Linked DNA regions of Drosophila melanogaster. The protein of the gene in region 2 purifies or fractionates together with the protein of the main gene of each other region. This does not show direct contact. Each region holds a gene or a part of one and is shown on either strand. Other genes may lie near its edges. The genes, in order: Grip71 and Mzt1.

Region 1 (5,100 bases), on a different chromosome or scaffold from region 2:
GAGATAGTGATAAACGTCCTGCAATAACATCAAATCATCAATCCCAAATTAGCAGTTTAAATTTGTGTAACTTACAAGCACCGAATCCGTCTGGTTAAATCGGCGCTCTAGGCGTGTTCCACTGGGCAGCTTGAATACAACTGCAATGGCGCCGACAGCATCCGCTGCCGGCTCGGATGGCACCAATGTGGCCAGCTCGATCTTTTGCCGGGCAATCTCCTCCTTGCGAAGCTCGACATCGCGTCGAGCTTGTTCCACAGCCTCCTCCGCCTGCCGGACGGCATCCCGCTCCCTTTGCCGCTGACGCTCCTTCTCCTCGTCCGCAAGCAAACTCTGCTCGTATGCCTCGTCCTGCTGTCTTCTTAAAGTCTGTGTAAAATTCCGCTCTAAGCGATCTGCACGCGCTTGACTCAGCCACACCTCGTTGGCGTTCGTCACCGACTGGAGGCGACGGAGCAGCTCTTCGGGCGTGCAATCCCCCTCGAAACGTCCGACGATCATCATGCGATTTGCTCGAAGGCTGATCATCACCATCGTTGGGTAGCTGCGCACCGTTATCGACTGCATCACCCGGTAGCCCTCCGGCGTGGCTACGTCGCATCCCCATAACAGGGTGTGTGTGTTAATGTAGTCAATGACCGATCTCGCCGACAGTGTGTTGCGGCAGAAGGATTCCACATCTGGGTTCTTGGCGGGATCCTTGTGCAGGTAAACGATTAGAAAACGCAGCTCCTGCTTAGCATCGTTAAGGGCCTGGGCATATGTGCCCTGATAGAAGACCGGGTGCTCGGGATACCTTTCGTAGTATTCCCTAATAAACTTCATCACATCCCCCAGTGGATCTGTCACCAAGCGGGCTTCGTTTCCTCCGCCCAGGTTCACAAACGCACTGACGATGCTCGTCAGCGTGGAGTAGAAGTACTGAAACACGAAGTTAATCACATATCCAATGATGCCGGTGAAGCTGCGGGGAACGGGGCCACTGGGCACCCGGCTAACCGTCCTTCCGCCAGGCATGTTGGCGGAAAACACCTGCTGCAGGAAGCGATCGTTAAGGACAGCGGGCGCTCGGACATCTGTAGAGGCGGCGAACATGGTCGGACGCCCCTCGCGGATATTTAGCTGCTCCTGGAAGGCCACCTGCATATGTAGATATGAAAAAGGGTAAATAAGCTGGTATTTAGTATAGCAGGGCGCCCAACGCAAAATTGTAAAAAACAAATTTAAAAAGAATTTAGAATAAAATGATTACTATCTTTAGTCGTCAGATAATATATATGTACAAAACTTGTTGGTAGTAGTATTCTTGCAGCCACCACTGTATGCAAGACTGCAAGACTACGTGACCCTGTTATTTTGACATTCACTGTGTGGGCATATAAACATATGCATACCTCGAGATCCCATTGGTGTCTGATTAGGACGTCGCGGCAGACGTTCATATCCTCGATGCCGGTGAGATCCTGGAACTGGAGGACCTTCTCCGTCTGTTCGTTGGTCAGTCCATCAGCTTCCATCTTTCCTGCAGTTGAAGGCCTCCGTTCCCAGTTGTTATCGTTGTTGTTTGCTTTTACGCAGTGCGTGCGTGTGTGTGCTTGTGTGGGTGCCAATGGCCCGTGACTGTCTCCCTGGTGTTGTTTTTGTTGTAAGCTGGCCTTTGTCCAGTGGCTCAGCCGCTGCGGCGGGGGACGGGGGATGAGTAGCGTGGTCACTAAATGCTTCTACTGGTCGCCAGGAGTCATTTCAACGCACGCCAAATTGCCGCACTACAACGTCTTTAACATTTCTCGGCAATTTATTTCTTTTTCGCAGGTGATTGCTTGCTCTTCTTCTTGCCTTTCTGCCAATGATCCGATGAATTTGGTTGTGAATGACTAGTGTGACCGCGCAGGCCGACGCGTTCTCACTGCGAAATCCAGCGGCAAACAAACAATTTGTGTTCGCTTTTTAAAAAATTATTTTTATTATTTATTTGATCTCTATGCCTGGCGTGGTAAAACACAGAAAAAGATTAAAAGCAATATTGATATATAATTCAAAGGTGTTAGATAAGGACAATGTGTAGTGGAATCAGCATATTTGTCTAACATCACTTGGAAAATCGACGGACGAGCTTTGGAATTTTCAGGTAATAAAGCAGCGGGCACATTCTTAAATCAGTCCGAACAAAAGCACTCAAATTTGAATTGTGTAAATATCTGAAGAAATAAATCAAAATGCATGTTATTTCCACGTCTAAAAAAACCGTGCTCTCCGACTTCGCGGATCTGGAGACAAAGTCTGAGTATGTGCACCAGAACGCAGAGCCCACGGACTTTCAGTTCAACGGCCAACGCCGGGTCTTCGTGGAGGTGGATAAAATGGCGGGCTTGGCCGTGATGCGAATAAAGGAGAAGGATGGCAAGAGTAAGAGAGAGGTGCGGATCCCCAAATCCCACGTATGTAATTAACTTCCCATTTCACAGCGCCCGAGATTCAACGAGTCCGTAAGCTCACCATCGACAATGCCTTCTGTGTGGCGTGCGCCAAGCAATCCCTGGAAGAGATCGCTGTGGGTCAGAGCGGTTGTGTTAAGCTATACAACTTTCGGACGGCACAGCTCATCCATCGTTTTCCGGCGGACCCGCAAAGGAGTACTGTCCTCTACATGGACTACAACAACACGGACGAGTATATAGCCGCCGTGCGCGATGGCGGGGACATCAGTATCTTGGGTACCAAGACCAAACAGAAGACCAACACCTTCACCATAGATGGCGAGTAAGTTAAAGGCTTGCTTGTTAAAGGATTGCATTGATCTTTCGCTATCCTGTTAATATCAGCTCTACTCTTGTGCGCTTTCATCCGAGCAAACGCTTTCATCTGTCGATCGCTTCCTATAAAGGAGCCGTGACTGTCTATGATGTGCAGGGAATGCGAAAGATTTTTCATGCCAGCGAAGCCCACAGTGCTCCCTGCCGGGACATCAGTATGTGCACATCCCAACCGGCACTGCTGGTCAGCGTGGGCTACGATTGCAAGATAAATATCTTCGACATTCGACGAAATCGTGCTCAGGCCTCTACGGATCGCTTGACCTACTCGCATCCACTATCGACGGTGGCGCTGAGTGAATGTGGCACTTATCTTTGTGCTGGAAACCTTAAGGGCGAATTAATAGCCTATGATATGAGGAGTACAAAGGCTCCGTTGGCCGTGAGGAGTGTACATGATGCGGCTGTAACACGTGTAGCCTTTGTGCCCGTGCCAAGTGGGGATAACCAGCAGAACGGTAGCCTCAACAGCTCCGAAAATGCAACTGGTTTGGCGACCGAAGCTCCTCGTGTAGAGCGTGCGCCCAGCGATGAGTTGCGTAAATCGATTGCCGCTAATTTGTTGAGCACCCAAAACCAGCTGACCAGTCTTGGTTACGGGGTGTCAACACCTACCATAGTTCGCCGGGATTCCTTTTGCGAGTTCCTGGATGCCCAAGGTCCAAGAGCTGTGGATCGCATGTCGACCCGCTTGGGCGCCTCTTACAGAGATAGTTTTGACTGGGAGACGCTCAACCGAAAACCGCAACCTTATGAAACTGCCAATCGTCAAAGTCTTTGTCCTCCAGTGGCGTCTGGCCCAAGCTCGGTGGATAACTCCGTCAACAGCTCCACCACGGAGTCACTGCAACGCAAGTTACTGTAGAGATTATTATTTTTTAGTTATAATAAGCTTATTACTTGCAGAGACCTTAAGCGGCCCACTGAAGGATCGGAGCAACATTTCCGGAGACGGAAAGCTGATGAAGATTGCCGAGACGGACGAGCTCTGCGAGGAGCAGTCTGCCAACATTTCCGTGGCCAGCAGCACAGGAGGCGGCAGCGACAAAGAGAATCCCCCGCCGGTTGACGCAGAAATGAAACGCCGTCTGCGCTTGCTTTCGGCCAGTCGAAACAGTACCCCGCACCATGCTAACATCACACCACAATCCTCAAATCCTCTCTTGAAGCCTCAGCAGTTGCTGGCCAAATCGTCAAGCGGACTTTCCGCCCAAATGGATGCAGATTGGCGCAAGGAATTCAGCGAGCTAAGAGATTTTGTAGACCAGCGCTGCGAGAAGGTGGAGCGCGAATTGGAGTACGTTACCTTCTCTAATCAGCGGCTATTGGCTAATAAGATGACCAACTACATGGACCAGCAGGTGGAAAACACAAGGGAGATCCGGGACGCCCTGGCTTTACTACTTCAAGGAGATAGCTTCATGCGCGAGTTCTCGCGCCTACAAAATGAAAACGAAATGTTAAAGGCCAAATTGAAGTTTTACCAGGAGCAGGAGCAAACTGAATCATGCGGAGAGTAAAACGAGGGGGAGACATGTTAATAATTAATTGAAACATTGTTATTATTGTATTTAATTTATTGTTATTATCAACTATTAGTAACATTTTTCAAAATAGGTTTTGGCGTCTCATGAGTTTTATGTAAATTTTAATTCGTTAATCGATCCATTTAGATATTTTACAAATGTTTTAGAATATTTACCTCGGTCTATAAAATGTTTTTGAATTCGTTATTAATATAGTGCTGCCAAAAGTGTAATGCGATAAGAAAGCTTCTTAAAATGTATTTTTTAAAACCCTTTTCACTTTCTGTACTCTAGCTTTAAGTGATCATTTTTCGGATTCGTCATGGGCATGTCCACCGATATGGTCCTGTTGAAGTTCTCGTAGTCGACAATGTAGCGCTCGTTTTGGGCGTCGTAATGGATGATATTGACGAACCGCTGGCCCCAGAAAATCTCCCTTGGCAGATAGGACGTCTTGGCCTCCGTCATCTGCGCTGTGGCAGGCGAAGTGCCCACAATGGACACATACAACTCAAATTGGGCAGCATTGAAGAGTTTCGCTGTGGTGAACTGAGACAACGGGCTGGTCTCATCGATGACATGGCACACCACATCGGGCCAGAGAATAATCTGCTCCCCATTCCCCTCCAGCTTCAGTTCCACGTGACTTTTTATAGTCTCACCCTCGCGCGTGCTGTCAGAGAAATAGATAAGATGGGGGTTCGTATTAATTGCTTGTTTTATCCAGCAGCAAGTACTATCTGAATGGAAGGTCAGTTCAT
Region 2 (2,777 bases):
GTTGCAATGCGTTCCACAAGCTGAGATATGCGCCTGGGTGTGGAGAGATGAATAGTTATGAGGTTTTAGGTTTGGCTAGCCAATCTTGGTTTTCCAAAGGGTGCCTGACACTATATATTTAGTTTTATTTACTATCATAAAAGTACGAATGATCCACTTCTATCCCATGACCAACTCACGTATGTTCGCCCCATGCTATTCATCCCTTAGTCTTTTCACCCATTAAAACCATTTAGCATTCATTAAGCCCAATTTCTGCCCCATCCATGGTGCTCGGAATAATCAACAAATTAACTAAATTCCTAGTGGGCGCCTCCATCCCCAGAATAATCCAAATTCCGAAGTTGTGACATCAAGAAATGTCGAAGCGATTTCAAGTGCAGCCCCGGGGAATCTTGGGAACATATTCGAACATTCCCAATCGTCCGCAACCTGTTTGATCCGTTGGTTATCAAAGATATTTCCAAACATGTTCGAAGCGAACCTCATGATGAGGTTGCATGGAATCCATAAGATACAATCCACAAGCTGCTTTGCAGCTACAGCCCAGCGGAATTTCAATTCAGTTCGCGCTCAACTCACAGACACGATGGTCATTCAAACGCGTTAACGAATAATAATTTAAAATAATATTCAAATGATAAATACACTAAAATATGCACTAAACCACGCACTAAACCTAAATCCACGAACTGTACATATTTGTGTAAATAAATAAAGTATAAACAAACAGCGAAGAGAAACCTCGAAATACCAATAGACCGCTCAAGTTCCCATACATTGAGCTGGCCAATCGTGTTTGAAATTATTTGTTTGATCGATTTTGTGCGGTGTGAACACCTTGTAAAGGCATTTGCAAACCTATTGCCATAGCAAGCAAAGTGTGTTAAGCTGGGAAACACCCTCTGAAAAGTTTATGTACTACCCCCTTCGATCGGTCGAATAATAACTACCACAAGACAAGCATTAAGTTTGTGTTTACGTGCTGCTGACTAATTGCGTTTATATAGCCCGACTATATAAAACTGTACAATAAGACACGGCCAACTGTTTTAGTTTGAACGCCTCAGTTAAAGCTGCAAATTGCTTCGCTACCAAGTGAAGTTCTACATTTTCGCAGCGAAAACGTTTTTCAATTGATTTTCATTAAGTGAAAAAATCCCGAGATTGTCTTCTTTTCGGTTTCCAATTGATCGCAATTGCACCAGACCCATAAAACATATATACAAAGTGAGGCTGCATTCCAAGTAGAGCAAGACAGTAACCACTTCATCATCACAACATCAGATGCTGCATAATTAGCATTCGTTGCGTGGAGCGTCGAAAAAAAAAGCGGAAAATGTATCTCATACAGGTGAGGCCAAGCGATACAATGGATCCCCCTCTCACGATTAAGTGTTTGCTCTTACTTATCACATGCTGGCGGCACTGCACTTGCCGACTGAAAAAGATCTTCATTTAAGCGTTTTTTAATTGTCCGCCAGCTGAGATTTTCAGCATTTACAATTCTCCCCTCCGTTTGAAATGACTGTGAGAGGCACGCATCTCTGGCGTATATAATTTGTTTAATTTGTAGCTAATTTATCTTTCCACTTGGCAGCGGGCAGATCGGATGTCGAGCAAATGGGGGGGGGTTCACTGGAGCAGGTGCCTCATTACTGAACTTTGAACTTGAAACGGTGTTACGATTTACAGCTGGTAATGGATTACGGTTAGGCATCGGGGTTCGGGTTAGCAGAACAAATGTGCAGGCCTGAGATTATGAAGGGAACTCAAATATTTTGACATAACCATTAATCATTTGTAAATGATATACATTCAATCGATTGCTTTTGAGTTATCTGTCAGCATTGCCCTAAATTATTTAGAGATTTATTCCGAGTTTATATCAAAATTTGTGGAATAAGTATGTCAGAACAACCGACACAACATAAATCCGACGATCGCTTCACTATCCTGCAAACCTTATCGGATGTAGTGGACTCTGGTCTCAGCAAGGAAGCCCTTAAAATCTGCATCGAACTGGTGGACAATGGTGTCTGTGGTGGAGCACTAGCACATGTAATTCGAACCATTAGAGAGGAGATTCAAGATGATGAAGATAAGGAAAGTGATGATTCCGGAGAATCGGCTGCATCAACAGACTCAACTTTGTAGGAAATGAATATAAAATATATTTTTGTGTTTATATTTTGTGTTTGTTAAATTAAAAGTTCAACTTTCCGATGGTCTGTTTCCGAAATTTGTAAGACGCTGGTTCTTGGACATCCAATTGCATGATTTTTGAAGGCTTTCAAGAAGACTTCGCCACTCTATTTGCATTCATCAAACGCAAGCGACTGGCGTTTCTGAAAACGGTATATGTGCCGGCCATGATAATGAAAAGTTGCACCACTTTGGCTTGATAGTAGGTCTAAGATGATAATGTGTTTAGATAAAAGCTTATAGCAAACCGAAGCAACAAACGACTCACCTGTCTTATATAGATGGGCAATGGAATGTGCGATCGATGAACATGGTAATCCATTCCTCTGAACAGCCAATAGCCCGGCCACGCCCCCAAACTGGCGAAAAGAAATGGTGCTGCAGTACTGTAGGCCTTTTCAAAGGATTGCGAATGCACCAGTAAACGTATCTCCTCGCCAAGATTATGCATCCGAGGTGGGTGGGCTATTGCCTTGGCTGGTTCCTCCTCCTTTCGCTTAAGCCTCGTCGAGAACTTCTCCTTCAGATTGCCGTAATAATTTTGGATGCCCATCTTGGAAAGGTTTAATTTT

The links.
Region 1: the proteins of Mzt1 (region 2) and Grip71 purify together in Drosophila melanogaster (affinity purification with western blotting, with the first as the bait; one study listed by BioGRID). This does not show direct contact.

The regions. Positions count from the first base shown.
Region 1 is NT_033779.5:18,706,722-18,711,821, forward strand, and holds Grip71 (Grip71), read left to right. Parts: upstream 1-2,124; 5' UTR 2,125-2,216; coding exon 2,217-2,406; intron 2,407-2,465; coding exon 2,466-2,760; intron 2,761-2,822; coding exon 2,823-3,664; intron 3,665-3,719; coding exon 3,720-4,333; 3' UTR 4,334-4,576; downstream 4,577-5,100. Other genes in the region: Faf2 (Fas-associated factor 2), read right to left, coding at 1-18, 76-1,140, 1,395-1,517; Irk3 (inwardly rectifying potassium channel 3), read right to left, coding at 4,616-5,012.
Region 2 is NT_037436.4:2,387,428-2,390,204, forward strand, and holds Mzt1 (mitotic spindle organizing protein 1), read left to right. Parts: upstream 1-1,837; 5' UTR 1,838-1,908; coding exon 1,909-2,157; 3' UTR 2,158-2,223; downstream 2,224-2,777. Other genes in the region: Svil (supervillin), read left to right, coding at 1,340-1,354; CG32299 (uncharacterized protein), read right to left, coding at 2,294-2,413, 2,474-2,758.